Linked DNA regions of Tamandua tetradactyla. Each later gene encodes a partner of the first gene's protein in a complex. Links are inferred from orthologs where the notes say so. Each region holds a gene or a part of one and is shown on either strand. Other genes may lie near its edges.

Region 1 (6,612 bases):
CACGTGGGGGACACAGGGTGGGCCTGGGCACAGAAAGGCAGAGTGAGCCAGAGAAGCACGTCAGGGGCGGGGGGCGCATGGGGCTCCAGCTGGGGGCATTGACGTGGCTGCCGGCCTCTGACTGCATCCCGGGGGAGCAGCCTGGGGGCAGGGGGCTGGGGACCCTGTATCGTGGGAGCGTGTGGCCATCTCCCGCCCAGCTGGGGCCTCCTGGGGCTGTGCCCTGTGGCAATGGACAGGGCAAATGGACAAAGGGCTCACCTGGGGAAGCCCGCCGGGTACACGCCACCAGCCCCTCCCATGGCTACCTTGCCGAGGACACGGTGGACACGGCCTGAAGGGGTCCCCCTGCAGCTCGGTGCAGCCAGGGGCAGGCTCCACCTGCAGGGTCTTCCTGGGCGCCCCTGGACCCGGCGGCTTGTCCAGTCCCAGCCCACATGGGGGGGCCTCCCTGGCGTGGCACTGCCCCGTGCTCAGATCAGCGTCTGACGCCTGCCCAGGCCTGACACCCAGGGCGCCAGGCTGAGGAGTCAGGGCCGGCAAGGGTGCCCTGAGGGCAGGCGGGGACTGTGGGCAGCGAGGGACCAGCCATGGGTTCGCATCCTTTATTGACTTTTGGGGTGATACCCCTGCCACTCCGTGGGCGCCGCAGGCCCCTGCCCGCCGTGTGCCCGGGGAGCGGGGTGGAGACAGGGGGCCTAGGACTCTGTCTCGAACATCTTCTTCCTGCCCTCCATGCCCGACTTCTCCTCGATGTTCTTCCTCCAGTCGCCCACGTCACGCAGGTCCCGCTCCTGGGGGCGACGGGGGGCGACTCAGGACCCCACCCCACGGGGGGCTCAGCCAGCAGGGGCCAGGCAGGGTGAGAGGGAGGAGTGAGGTCCAGGTGAGACGGGGTCAGCCCCAGGTGGGGGGGATCAGTCCCAGGTGGGGGGGATCAGCCCCAGGTGAGAGGAGGTCAGTCCCAGGTGAGAGGGGTCAGTCCCAGGTGAGAGGGGTCAGTCCCAGGTGGAAGGATCAGCCCCAGGTGAGAGGGGTCAGCCCCAGGTGAGAGGAGGTCAGCCCCAGGTGAGAGGGGTCAGTCCCAGGTGGGGGGGGATCAGCCCCAGGTGAGAGGACGTCAGTCCCAGGTGAGAGGGGGTCAGCCCCAGGTGAGAGGGGTCAGCCCCAGGTGAGAGGGGTCAGTCCCAGGTGAGAGGGGTCAGCCCCAGGTGAGAGGGGGTCAGCTCCAGGTGAGAGGGGGTCAGCCCCAGGTGGAAGGATCAGCCCCAGGTGAGAGGAGTCAGCCCCAGGTGAGAGGGGGTCAGCCCCAGGTGGGAAGGGGTCAGCCCCAGGTGAGAGGAGGTCAGCCCCAGGTGAGAGGGGGTCAGTCCCAGGTGAGAGGGGGTCAGTCCCAGGTGAGAGGGGGTCAGCTCCAGGTGAGAGGGGGTCAGCCCCAGGTGGGAAGGGGTCAGCCCCAGGTGAGAGGAGGTCAGCCCCAGGTGAGAGGGGGTCAGTCCCAGGTGAGAGGGGGTCAGTCCCAGGTGAGAGGGGGTCAGCTCCAGGTGAGAGGGGGTCAGCCCCAGGTGGAAGGATCAGCCCCAGGTGAGAGGAGTCAGCCCCAGGTGAGAGGGGGTCAGCCCCAGGTGGGAAGGGGTCAGCCCCAGGTGAGAGGAGGTCAGCCCCAGGTGAGAGGGGGTCAGCCCCAGGTGAGAGGAGGTCAGCCCCAGGTGAGAGGGGATCAGTCCCAGGTGAGAGGGGGTCAGCCCCAAGTGGGAGGGGTCAGCCCCAGGTGAGAGGAGGTCAGCCCCAGGTGAGAGGGGTCAGCCCCAGGTGAGAGGGGTCAGCCCCAGGTGGGAGGGGTCAGCCCCAGGTGAGAGGGGGTCAGCTCCAGGTGGGAGGGGGTCAGCCCCAGGTGAGAGGGGTCAGCCCCAGGTGAGAGGCCTGGGCCCCGGCGGCGCCGGCGGACGCACCTTCTCGGTGTCCTCCTTCTTGACCTGCTTCAGGTTAGCCCGCAGGTCCATGCACACCTTGTGCTTTGAACCCAGCAGGGCCTTGAGCATGGCGTCGGCCGACATGCGCACGCGCCGCAGTGGGGGCCTCTTGAACTTGCCGCGCAGGTCAAACAGCTTCTGGTTCATGTCCTCCAGCTGCGGGGGGCGGGGGGAGCTGAGTCCAGCGCCCCGTGACCCCCCGCCCCCGCCCCTGCCCCTGCCCGCGCCTCACCTCCTTGGTGCTCTTTTGGACCCTCATCTCCATGTCGTACTTCTCCTCCTCGGCGGCGTCGATCTTGGCGTGCAGCTGTTTGCAGAGCTCCTGGGGTGGGAGACCAGGGGGTGGGCCCTGACCCTGGCCCTGACCGGCCCCAGCCTCTGGCCACCTGCTTGGCGCTGCCCCTTGGCAGGTGGGGAAACCGAGGCAGTGGGCCGGAAGGTGGTGGCGGCGCGGGGCTGGGCGCGGGGCGGGGTACCTGCACTTCGGACATGGAGCCGGGGATGTGCAGGGAGGGGCAGTGCTCGGCCAGGTAGTTCTGCTTCTCGGTCTCCCGGCGGCCCTCCTCCTTCTCCAGCTCCGTGGCGGCGATCTGCAGCATGACGCTCTGCGGGGTGGGGTGGGGGGCGCCGTGAGGGCTGCAGTCCCTCCCGCAGGCCCCGGCCCCCTCCCCAAGCCCACTCTTACCTTCAGGTGCTGCCTCCTGGCCGTGATGGCCCTGTTGCGTTTCTGTGGGGGGTCAGGGGGCGGGAAGCAGGGTCAGGGGCTCCATGGGGGGCCGGCTGAGCTGGAGGACCAGCCAGGACCTCCAGGGCACAGGCCTGGCCTGCTGACCCCGTCTAGGACGGACAGCCAGGTCCTAAGAACTTGGGGGGTGGGGGTGGGAAAGGCAGGTGAGGCACAGGGGAGGGGTGACCCTTGCAGGGCCTGGGGGGGTGCGATTCCTTCTGAGAAGCCGGGCCACAGCCCCCACTTTCCCTGCCCAGGAAGGCCCAGGCTGCCACTTCCTCTGTCCCGTCAGGGCCGGTGGGGGGAGGCTGGCTTCGTCTCTGTGCATCAAAGACTTGAAGCTCTGACCTCTGACCTCCACGGAGTTGGGGTCCCAGCGCCCCCCCACCTCTCACTCCCCTTCTCCAACCAGGTACTCACCTCCTCACTGTCCGGCGAGGTCGGGGTAAGAGAAGGAGAGGAGAGAAGGGAAAGATCGGGTCAGGCCAGGCCGGTGGGGAGCAGGAGAGGGTGGGCTGGGAGAGGGTGGGGTGGGCAGGGGTAGCTGCTGGGGAGATGCAGAGACCCCACCCCCGGGCATCGCGCTGGGCACCCCACTTACTCCCCCATCCTGAGATCGTGAGCTCAGATCCTGTGTGGAGAGAAAGGCAGGGGTGTCAGGCCACAAGGGTACAGCCGCCAGGCCAGCAGTGAGGGGGTGCCGCTGCCCCCCTTCCCACCCCGTGCTCCCCCTCCTCGCTCCCTCTGCAGAGGGGGATGTCTTGGAATTCCCCGGGGTGGGGGGTAAGAGGAGAAAGTGCTCCCGAGATGCCCAGGGCAGGGCCTGGAGGAGCTGCAGCTGTCTCCGAGGGGGGTGTGGCGGGGGCACCCGGGGGGGGGGCCAGCACAGGTGGCCGCCGAGCAACAGATATTTTTAACCCCGCTTCCTTGGCTACCGGCCGAAGTACAAGAAACTTGCTCCCCGATTCAGCTTGGGGGCCCAGCTCTTGGGGTCCCTCGACCCTCAAAACCAGTGTCCCCAGAAGTGAGATCAGACCACCAGGGGCTGCCCGGACCCCTGCCCCGCCCCGCCAGCATCCCCAGGTGTCTCTTCCCCCTGCGTCCCACTCTGTGGGAGCCCCCTGAGGGGCTGCTGGCCGCGGCCCCCAGGCCCCCACCCAGGGCGTCCTCCTGCAGGCCCGCCTGAGTGCCGCCCGCGGCCTGGCCTGACCGGCCGGGCAGGGCCTCACCGAGAGCCTGTGCTGCAGAGCTGGGAGCAAGGTCTGGCGGTGGCGAGTGGGCTGGGGGGCCGGGGAGGGTATAAATGGCCTCCCCCCAGCCAGGCCCCCGCTCGGAAAGGGCATGTAGCTGCCCCAGGCCAATGGGGACAGAGAGAGCCGGCGCGCGGCCCCCCAGCTGCCCGGGCCGCGGGCTGGCCACGTGCTGCCACCCCATCCAAGAAGTCTTGGTGGGGGGAGCCGAGGCGAGCAGAGCTATTTAGGGCCCAGTGACGAGTCCGAGGAGCCTTCGCTGTTCTCCAAGGAGCCTGGGGACACGGCGCACGTGGCTTTGCTGGCCACCTCGCCGAGGCTGGACACACGTGGGGCCGCACAGCCTCGCCCCAAGTCAGCCCTGTCCACCCTCACTCGGGGTCCCGATCACACTTTGCCCCATGGCCTCTGTCCGGCCCATGGCAGGGGACTCCCGGTGGCGTGTTGTCCTGGGGGGCCCGCCCCCCAAAGCCTGGGCCCTCAATGGGTTATGTTCCACCACAGCCCACCGAGCCCCGCAGCACAGCTGGCCGGCGACCCCTTCTCCAAGCCCAGCTCCCAGGCTGGACCCCCAAACGCGGCCTCGGGCCTGGGGCCCCGGCGGGGGGCTGATATCACCTGCCCGCCCTGGGAGCAGGGGCCAGGCCCCCAGACATGCCTGCTGAGCCCCCTCCCCAGCCGTGCTCGGTACGCCCAGCCTCGGCCCCACACCTGGGCGGCTCGGGACACGTCCTCCGAGCCTGGGAGCACGGGGAACCTCTCCCTGACCCCGGGGCCCGCGCCACCGCCCCCCGCCTGCGTGACTTGGCACCGTCTGCGCGCTGCGGCGCGGCCCGCCCTGCCGGCTCGGGGCTTCTGGGGCGTAGGCAGGATCCGAGGCGGCGGGCGCAGGAGGCTCTGCAAACCCTAAAGCTTCCAGATGTGCGGGATTAGGAGGCCTCGGCCCCCGGGCCCCCGCGCCGCTTCCGAAGGCCTCTACTGCCCCCTGCTGCCTGCGCGGGGCCCAGGCGCCTGGGTGGGGGGGCCCTCCCTCCGCCACCACCCCCCACCGCCGCCGCCGCCCCCTTGTCCCCGCGTCTTCGCGGCATCCCACCCCCTCCCAGGGCCGTGCCTGCCTCTCCAGACCCTGCAGACATGCCCGGAAGGGGCAGAGAAGGGTCTGGGGACTTTGCGGCCCCCACCCCAGGGTCAGGCCTGAGATAGAAGCCCCAGGGCAGACTCAGCCTGGAAGGGAGAACCTCCCTGCCCTTGGGAGGGGGCTGTTCTTGCAGGGAGCCCCCTCCTCAATTCTGTATTGTCCCCCAGGGCTCAGGAAGGACAGGCAGTGGAGGCAGCCGGAGATGGCGTTTATTCGACCAGGTCCGCCAGGCCTGGCAGGGGAAACTGAGGCTTGGGTGCTCTCAGGAGCGGGGCAAGGGGAGGCGCCCGCGGGGCCTCAGGCCGAGGACCCGGTCTACCTCGCTGGGGGGCCGCAGGCGGTGCCACTGGGTGCTGGGGCGCCGGGCGTGGGCCAGCATGTCGGCCCAGTGTTGCAGGGGCTGGCCGGAGGCACGGGCACCCAGCAGCACTTTCCCCACGGGCTCGGTCCGGAGCTGCGGGCCACGGGCGCACACGGCCAGCACCAAGTCCACGCCCTGTGAGGAGGCGGCCATCAGCTCGGCCCGGGCCGTGGCCCCCGCCCGCCCGCCTCCCCGGGGCCCACCTGGAGCTGGGCGACGGGCACGCGGAAGGCAAAGGCCTCATTGAAGTAGGGGGCGGCCGTGGCCCTCCTGGCGGACGTTCTCCGCTTCTTCCAGGGCCTCTGGTTCAGCAGCAGCTGGACCTTCACATAGGGCGCTGGGCGGGCACGGAGGGGCGGGGGGCACTGGGTCAGAAGCTGGCGCAGGGTGCTGGGGCCTCTGCCCACCCCACGGGCTGCACGGGCCTCACCTGCCAGCCCCGGGCCCAGGCCGCGGGCCTCCAGCACCAGCACGGTCAGCCGGCCCGCGCTGGGCACGTACCTCAGCGAGAAGCACAGCTCGCCGCTCGGCTCCGGCTGCCAGGGGCACGAGGGGGTCTCAGCGCGGGGGGCTCCACCGCGCGGCCCGGGCCCCCTGCCTGCTCTGCCTCCCCCGGGCCCCCGTGGCCTCACCTCGACGGTGCCCGGTGGGCCCAGCTCGTGCCAGCGCTCCAGGACGTGCCGCAGGTCCACCGAGGCCAGGGGCAGGCGCAGCTCGGCCAGCGGCGTGTGCGCGGAGAAGCGCCGGGAGGCCAGGAGCTGCACCAGCAGCACGGTCCGGGGCAGCGCGGTCGGAGGGACCTGCGGGGCCGGTGCGGGGGGTCAGCGGGGTTCCCTGCCCGGGCCTGGCCGCTGCCCCCGCCGGCCGCGCCCCACCTGGAAGCTGCAGGTCTCTTCGAACACCGGGCTGAGCGTGCCTCGGTGCACACGCGTCTCGTGGCTGGGGCCAGCCGGGGGGCACAGGCTGACGCGAGCGTAGGGGTCAGCCGTGTGGCCGGAGCCTGGGGCCTGCAGGCCAGTCGCCTGCTTCAGGCCCACCCTGACCTGGGAGAAACGGGGGGGTCTCAGCGGAGGTGCCCCCTGCCCCAGCCCGCCCTCCCCAACCGCCAGCAGTGTGGCAGAGTGGGCCCTCACCTCCTGGCTCGCAGGCTGGTACTCCAGGGA
Region 2 (8,086 bases), on another chromosome or scaffold:
AAGTGTGGCACCCAATAGCCAAAGGTCCCAGAAAGGGAGGCCTCCAGAGTCACCCCGCGGTCCTGCCGCGCCTGCACCCTCCTCGGGCTGCCAGCTTGCGGGACTCGGCGGGAAGCCCCCCGCGGCCTCCGAGCGGCCCACGCCCAGCGCCAAAGGCCCGCAGCCGGCCGTGAACTGGCGAGCACGGCCCCACGCCCTCCCGCATCCCGCCGCTCCCGCCGCCTCGCCGGGGAGACGTCCCCGGTCCCCCTCACTCAGGCCACGCGCTTTGCAATGTTTGCGTTTATTCCTGCCGGACGCAGACCCAGAAGGCGCAGCGCCTCCCTGCCGGGGCCGGGGACTGGGCGCGGCTGCGGCCGAGCCGCCTACGGCCAGGGACACGCGGTGTCGGCGGGGGCGCGGGCCGACTCCTTACTGCACACCCTCCATCATCTTCAGGAACTCTGCAGGGAGGGAGCGGGAGAGGGCATCAGGGATTACCCACTCGCGACGCGGAGAACTGCGGCAGGGGCCGAGCGCGGGCCGGCCAGGCCTCGGGCCACGCGGAGGGGCCACCCCGGTACTAACTAACAAACCGCACAAACGCTCCCGCACGCCCGACCCGCCCGCAAGGGGGAGGGGCCTCGGTCGGGCTCCGACCGGCCCCGCCCACAAAGCCAGCGCGCGCGTGTGCGCCCCCCGCGCATGCGCCCCCCTCGACTTGGCTCCCGCGGCCCTCACCGTCGAAGTCGATGCGGCCGTCGTTGTTCTTGTCCCCGTCCTTCATTAGGGATTCGAGCTCCTCGTCCGTCACGTGCTCCCCGGACGCCCTGAAAATCTCGGCCAGCTCCTCGGCGTCGATGTAGCCGTCGGCGTTCCTTGGGGCGGAGCGGCAGCACGTCGCCCCGGCCGCGCTCCTCGGCCCCTTCCCGCGGCCCCTCCCTCCCGGGGACTCGCCCCCAGGCCCCTCCCCCCGCGCCCTGCGCACCTGTCGAAGATGCGGAAGCACTCCGCCAGCTCCTCCTCGCTCTTGCCCTTGGCGTCCTCTTTCATCTGGCGCACCATCATGACCAGGAACTCCTCAAAGTCGATGGTGCCGCTGCCTGAGGACGCGGGGCGGCCGCCTGAGCCGGAGCCCCGGACGCCGCCCCTCCTCGCCGTGCCCCACCCCGCCGACCCGGGGCCTGCACTCACCGTCCTCGTCCACCTCCTCGATGATGGCGTCCAGCTCCTCCTTGGTGGGCGTCTGGCCCAGCATCCTCATCACCGTGCCCAGCTCCTTGACGCTGATGTCCCCGCCGCCATCGGCATCGAACATGTCGAAGGCGGCCTTGAACTCTGCCCGGAGAGTAGGCGTCCAAGGCTGCGGCGAGCTGGCGAGCCTGCCAGCCCCACAGCCACCCTCCCACCTGCCCACGCACCCCCACACCCGGTGCCCCCCGCCCACTCACCAGCAATCATCTCCTCGCTGAGATAGGACCGGGCCTCAGCCTGCTGGTCCGTCTGCAGAAGACACGGGGAGTCAGGATGCAGGGGAAGCAAGCCCTCGGGCGGATTCTTGCCTTCACCCTCTTCCCGCCACCCCCAGTTTCTGTGAGTACTCCTGGGGCCTCAGGAAAACCGGGTCCACACTTGCCGAGCTGCTGCCTGGCCCCACAGCATCCACCCCAGTTGAAAAGAACTCAGGGGCAGACACAGGTTATGTCCAAGATCTCCTCGTTTATCAGTCTGAAGGCCAGTCGACAACCCCCACTGACCTTGGGCAAGTCACTTAGTGTACCCTCATTTTTTCTCTAGATTGAGATGAAATTACGGGTGTGAAAGGGCTTCAGAAAGCATCATTCCAGCGTGATTTTTCCTAGCACCTGATAATGCGGTCCTACTTCAGGCGGTGCTCAGTAAATGATGACGCAACACAAAGCTAGTGGGCATGTACTGTGCCAGGCCACAGGCCATACACGGACCCAGAAGACCTGGACTCATCATCCCTCCCCTCAGAGAACTTGCAGAGGTGGAAGGCAGGGCTCCAAATGGTAAGGTTCTTAGGACTTAGTCATCCCAGTAAACACTCTCATGCTAGGTAAAAGGTGCTGGTGGCCTTGAGAGGGCGAGAGTAAGATTGCCGTAGAGCTTTCCGGTCATATCCCAGCCGGACCATCTGTGGAGGCTTCATGGAAGGAGGGGCCATTGGACTGATGCTTGGCAGCGAGGAAGGGCTGAGATGTCCAAGGAGTTCTTCAGCCACTGCCTCCCCCTTGCCCCCCCTCCTGCCACCCTTCTTTCCGGTGCCAGAAGGGCAGGCTATTTTTAATCAGGCAAGGGCAATAGCAGCTGGTCTCTGGGGTCTAGTTACTCCTTGAAGTGAAGTGGGGTGGGGGTGGGGGTCTCAGGAGAAAATGACAGTCCCAAATCAGAGCCCCTTTCTGGGAGGCTGCGGTCTTCCCAAGTCTGGTCTGTCGTCTTCTGCCTTTTCCCATCACTCTCGAGGCTCTGGAGCCCTGCACCTAAGCTGGCTGCAGGCACCCAATCTTCTGGAGAAGCTTTTCCTACCATGGACAGTTGGAAGGTTTGGCCAGGCTTGAGGCCCACTCCTGCCACTCTCTCACTGGGACCTTAGTCAACCTGCTGTGGGTCTCAGGGTCCCCAACTCTACCGTGAGGGAGATAAGTGAAGACCCCTCACAGCTCTGTGACTGACAGTGCTGGGAGTCCCAAGGCCTGGAAGGAATCGGCAAGCCTTGAGCATCAACCCATGGAACATCCCAACCTTCCCCTTCCAAGAGAAGTAGAAGGCCTTCTTCCCAGCCTTCCCCCAAGACCCCTGGCTTCCAGGACACTTCACACCGCAACTGTAAAACTCCGACTTACTGACCCGCATCCTGCACACCCGGTCTGGCCTGGGAGAGGCCCAGAAGTGCTCCAGCAAGGGAGAGAACGAAGTCCATCCTTACCCTTACCATGATTGTCGTTGGCTTGGGATCCTCAGCTGCGTGTCACCTCCTCTGCACACCACCACCCGAGGATGCCCCAGCCCTCTCCAGCCCCCGGGATTTGTAGGGGCCCCTTCCCCTCCCGCCTTCCTGCTCCCCAGGACTGGTTAGCCTGGCCAATCAGATTCTGGGGTCAGCGAGCCCCACCCCTCCCAGAATCCTAGCCCATTACCTAATTTAGCCAAGGGCCCTTGCAGAGAAATTTAAGCCTCTGAGCAGGTGGCAGGCCTTGGCGTCCTAGATTCTTGTGAGGAGGACTTTCCCTGCTCCCTGCCTCAGGGAGCCCCGGCTCAGGAGGCACACTTGTGCCAAGATGGGTACCGACAATCAGAACAGAGGAAAATGGGGCAGCAGGGGAGATAGAGTAGGCAGAGCACAGCTATGCTGTCCAAAACCCAAGATCCAAAGTCCTGCCTCTGTGAGCTGTGTGACACTGTGCAGGTGGCAATGCCTCTCTGAGCCTCAGTCTTCTCATCTATGAGATGGGGATAGTCATAACCTCCCTTACAGAGAGATCGCTATAAACAGGAGCCCAGATATGCCACCTAGCCTGTGCCAGGTACATGGCAGGCAAGTCCTGTCTTTAAACCTTGGTAGACAGCTATGACCAGTTTGTTGAACCTTTATGACTTGCCACACACTGAGCATTTAAACCATATGAGCTCAGCTAGTTTTCATCCCATGAGGTAGTAACTATTATTATCCCCATTTTCCTGAAGTGCTTTGGAAACCATAAGCATCTGTATGCATGTTGGTGATTCTTATTATTAATCCTGACAGGGATAACCTGGGACAGATGGTCCTGGGCAGAGGGGGAGGAGGGGGAGGGGGAGATGATGGGGGCATTTGGAAGGGGTCATGAAGGGGGCTGTAAATAAGATAAGCATAGAGAGCAGACAGCCTGTCTCCTCCAGGAAAAGGGTGTTTGGGATTCACTTTGGTTTTGATTTTGGGTTTTTTTTGGTGGGTGGGGTGGTGGGGGAATGGGTGGTCCCAGGGAAAGTTTCTCTATAGTTGAAGGGGCAGCTGACCTCCTCCTAGAGCTCCATGAAGGTATCTGGAAGAGCTCAGCTGGCCATCTGGAGAGTGAATGAAGTGGGCAGCTCTAGTCTGAAGAGAGACCACCCAAGAATCCTCAGGTTCCAGGCTGGGCATTTTGGGGTAGGCCAGGCTCCTGGACAGTGGCTAAATCAATAGAAAGCGCACCAAGCTGGTAGGGCATGGGTCCTGGGGCCAGGGAGGGGGTGCTGCACAGCAGGGAAGGCAGATGGACAGTGACAACTGGGCTGCCTCCTTTCCCTATATATAGACATTCCCAAGGAAAGCTCAGCAGAACCAGGTCAGGCAAAAAAGGACCTCCCCCAGCCAGGCAAAGGGCCAAGGGGCAACACCTAGGGGCCTCCAGTTTGGACACAAAATACTTGGAAACAGAGGTTGTGAACCTGCAGAGATTGTTTGTTCATTTGTGTGTTCTTTCATTCAGAGAAATAAAGTCAAATTCCTCAGTGTGGCAAGCAGGGTCCCATCTACCCCTCTGATCTTACTCCTTCCTCCTCTCTCCACCTTGAATGCTGCTCTGCTGTGATCAGACTTAAATACTCCCCCAAATATCACCCTTTAGAACCTCCATGCCCTTGTGCATGTTGTTTTTTTCTACCAGGAACCCCTTCTTCCCTCTCTTTGCCTGCCTACTTCCCTACTATCTTTTTCAGCTTTAACATCTCTTGCTCCAGGATCCCCCCTCCCCTATTCTCAGGTCAGGGGACTTCAGAGAGGTCTCCAGTAGTTTCTTGAATCACAGCACTGAGCATGCTGTATGATCACAATGTGTTCTGTATCACCCTGACCAGACACTGTTTCCTGTTCACCACTGCATCCTCCAGGGCCTAGCACTTGCCACTTAGCAGGCATTCAATACATACATAGCTGAAATGACTGGGATCTGATTCAATAAAAGGAAGGACTAAATAACAATCACGGGAACCAGCAGCTTTATAAGGAAATGAGCTCCCTGTCACTGGATGTTTTCAAGCAGGAGTTAGGTAACTATCTCGCAGGGAGGTTGTAAGGAGATGGCATATGCAGTCTAAGAGTTTTGGGGAATTCAAAGTTGTGGATCAGAAGACCTGTTGTATGGGTAAGTCCATTCCCCTCACTAAGCCTCAGACTTCCCAACTATAAAATGGAAGCAATAGGCCAGATTTTTGAGAGACCCTTTTGGCTCTGGGCTCCAGTTTGCTAAAGCTGCGGGGATGCAATATATCAGAAGTGGGTTGGCTTTTACAACGGGGATTTATTAGTTGATAAATTTACAGTTCTAAGGCCCTGAAAATGTCCAAATTAAGGCAGTAACAGAATGATACCTGGACTCCAAAGACAGGCCACTGGCATCTGGGACCCCTCTGCCACATGGGCACACACATGGCTGGCATCTGCTGCCTCCTTTGCTCCCAGGTCCCCTTGCTTTCAGCTTCTGGTTCCAGCAGCCTCTTCCCTGAACTTCTCCGGTTCTCGTTCCACTCTGAGCTCTCTTTGGGTGTTCTACTCTGAGCCCTCTGGCTTTTTCTGCCTTTTATCCTCTCATAAAGGACTCCAATAGAGGATTAAGTACCCTCCTCCTTGAATTGGGTGGGTCACATCTCAATTGAAATAACCTAATCAGAAGGTGCCACCACAAAGGGCTCACACCCGCAGGAAGGAACTAAAAGATTATGGCCTTTTCTGGGGTACATCACAGCTTCAAGCCAGCACACTCTGACAGCCATGGTTTTATGAACACTATTTGTACTCGGTCTTTTGAGGCATTTATCAAAGTGCAAGGTAATATTCAGCCAATGTTTATTTATTGGCATAAAGAGCAGGAGGAGCTTTGAAATTACATGGATTTGTTCCCCTATTTCCTAGCTGTGGACCTTGGGAAAGTCAAGTTGCCTTGGTTTCTTCATCTTGAAAATGGATCATCATTGTCCAGTAATAGACTCCAGGATATTGTGAGGGTGAAATGTGACACCATGTAAGGTGCCGCCAACTGAACTCTGGACGCCGTGGCACCTAAGAAGCGAACCCTGCCCCGCCCACTTGAGGGAGGGCAGAGAGTGTGCTCTCTGTGCAGACACGTCCCTGCCACTCCTCTCCAGGCCCACTCCCAACAGGGTTGCAACTGCTTTCAGGGAGGTTTTGTTTAATCGTATAACTAAGATACCTGCCCTGCTAGAGACAGACATCTAGACCTTCTAACAGGAAGCCTCAAATGATTCTTAATTCTTATCAACCGACCCTTCCCCTCCACAGAGAAAATGAAACCGGCGCCCCAGAGGAGCTGCTGAGATGACAGCAGCCCTGCTGCGCGGGAGAAGAGCAGGATGCGGAGCTCAGGAGGCTCTGGTTCCAAGTCCCCACACCTAGAAATCTCTAGCAGGCTGTGGAATTTTGGGCAAATGACTGGCCTTCCTGGTTCTTAGTTTCCCCTTTGACCTACTCCCTACATGCGAGACTCAAATGAGCTTGTGAAAGCCTGTGAGCACTGTAGAAACAAAATCATGATGTAACTGAGCATTTCGTCAGCCCCTGCCTGGTGCTGGGCCCTGGGATCCCCGCCTGAGCTGATGCTACCAGTTGCAAAATTACAGTCAGATCAGACGCCAGCCCAGATCCCGCACCCACTCCAGGCCCGGATTCCTCACTGGAGAAATGGGCGTCCTCTGCTGCATAATGACTTCGGAAAGTTAGAGAGCTCCGGGGACAACGAAGTGGAAAGATGGGGCGGACAGGGCTGCTGGGAGGGGTGCGAGGGTTCGAGGAGGGTGCGCTCCCGCCCAGTTGGGGGACAACCCGGCCGAGGCGTGAGGCTCGCCCAGGCCGGCCCCGGATTCCCAAGTCCCTCCCGGGGCGCGGGGCCCGGAATTCCCGGGCGGCTCCGGGCAGCGGGCGGGGCCGGAGGCGGGGCGGCGGCAGGAAGCGGCGCTCGGAGCGGCCTGGGCCGGCGGAGCCGCGGCGCCCGGCCGGTTTCGGCGAGCCACAGCGGGGTTGCGGGCCTTCCCGGGGAGCGGGGCGCCCTGGGCGCTCGGCGGGGCGCCGGAGGTAGAGGCGCGCGGGGCGGGCAGAGAAGCGGGGAGGACCCGGTGACCCTCCGCGGAGGAGCGCGGCCCAGGCTGCGCGGGCGGGGGGATGGCGGCGCGGCAGGAGGCCCGGGGCGCGCGGGACCCCCAGCGGGCGGGGGCGGGGCCTCCGCGGCGCCCCTCCCTCCACCGGCCAGTGCCCCGCCCCTCCGCCGCGCCCGGGCTGGGGGCCACCTCCCGCAGGGGCCGAGGACCCAGCCCCGGGTGCTCCCCCCAGGGTGCCATGGCCTCCCGGCTCCTGTACCGGCTGCGGCACGCCCTGGCCGGCGACGGCCCCGGGGAGGCGGCGGGCGGCCCCGAGGCCGAGCAGTTCCCGGAGAGTTCGGAACTGGAGGACGACGACGCCGAGGGCCTGTCCTCGCGCCTCAGCGGCACCCTCAGCTTCACCAGCGCCGAGGACGACGACCTCGGGGACGACGACGACGACGAGGAGGACGCTGGCCCCGACCCGTTGCCCACCGCGCGCCGTGCGTCGGGTGAAGACGCAGGCGAGTGCGGGAGACGGGGCCGGGACCGGGGCCCCACTAGGCCTCCGCGCAGCATCGTCTCCCGGCGCTCGGAGCTGATCCGGCCGCAGCCCCACTTCTTGAAGTGTCCCAGCCACCTCTGGTCCTGTGACCTTGAGAGCGTCACGCTTCTCTGAGCCAAGTTTTCCCTTGCATCAAATGAAAAAAAAATCACTCCCATCTGAGGGTCTTTGGGGGCATTAAAAGTAGAGGACCTGGGATGTAAAGTATTAGTAACGTGCTAGAATGCTTTGCTGACTGGACTATTATTTAATGTCCATTATGTGCCAGGCACTGTTTGGCACCAGACCCCCCGCTAGCCCTCAGTTCCACCTCTGTAAAATGGGAATAAAGTGAAATAAGTTGGCACTTGGGCACGTGGGTCCTGGCCCGGTGCTGACCTGACTGGGCACATGTGTCCTCGTGCAGAGGGAAGTTCCCAGACTGATGGGCCGCGGGGTCCGCTCCTGGCGCGGCAGCTGCAGGATTTTTGG

What was found.
Region 2: the proteins of TNNI2 (region 1) and TNNC2 are in contact, whole or in part, in a crystal structure (PDB 1A2X), measured with the Oryctolagus cuniculus proteins. The link is inferred for Tamandua tetradactyla from reciprocal best matches to the Homo sapiens genes TNNI2 and TNNC2. Residues at the interface, in NP_001076252.1 of Oryctolagus cuniculus: Glu5, Asn8, Arg9, Ile11, Thr12, Arg14, Arg15, Gln16, His17, Leu18, Lys19, Ser20, Val21, Met22, Leu23, Ile25, Ala26, Glu29, Leu30, Glu33; in NP_001076114.1 of Oryctolagus cuniculus: Ser13, Glu15, Met16, Ala18, Glu19, Ala22, Lys91, Leu96, Glu98, Cys99, Arg101, Ile102, Phe103, Arg105, Ile119, Phe120, Ala122, Ser123, Glu125, His126, Val127, Glu131, Ser134, Leu135, Asp138, Phe152, Met155, Met156, Val159, Gln160.

The regions. Positions count from the first base shown.
Region 1 is NC_135335.1:1,876,068-1,882,679, reverse strand, and holds TNNI2 (troponin I, fast skeletal muscle), read right to left. Parts: upstream 2,791-6,612; 5' UTR 2,659-2,790; intron 2,579-2,658; 5' UTR 2,573-2,578; coding exon 2,450-2,572; intron 2,296-2,449; coding exon 2,206-2,295; intron 2,130-2,205; coding exon 1,953-2,129; intron 795-1,952; coding exon 699-794; 3' UTR 592-698; downstream 1-591. Other genes in the region: SYT8 (synaptotagmin-8), read right to left, coding at 5,351-5,584, 5,653-5,786, 5,880-5,985, 6,082-6,249, 6,325-6,492, 6,583-6,612. UniProt on the Homo sapiens protein: Troponin I is the inhibitory subunit of troponin, the thin filament regulatory complex which confers calcium-sensitivity to striated muscle actomyosin ATPase activity.
Region 2 is NC_135327.1:6,387,397-6,395,482, reverse strand, and holds TNNC2 (troponin C, skeletal muscle), read right to left. Parts: upstream 3,051-8,086; 5' UTR 2,939-3,050; coding exon 2,930-2,938; intron 1,483-2,929; coding exon 1,431-1,482; intron 1,318-1,430; coding exon 1,174-1,317; intron 1,083-1,173; coding exon 968-1,082; intron 858-967; coding exon 721-857; intron 444-720; coding exon 412-443; 3' UTR 268-411; downstream 1-267. Other genes in the region: SNX21 (sorting nexin-21), read left to right, coding at 7,310-7,574, 8,022-8,086. UniProt on the Homo sapiens protein: Troponin is the central regulatory protein of striated muscle contraction. Tn consists of three components: Tn-I which is the inhibitor of actomyosin ATPase, Tn-T which contains the binding site for tropomyosin and Tn-C.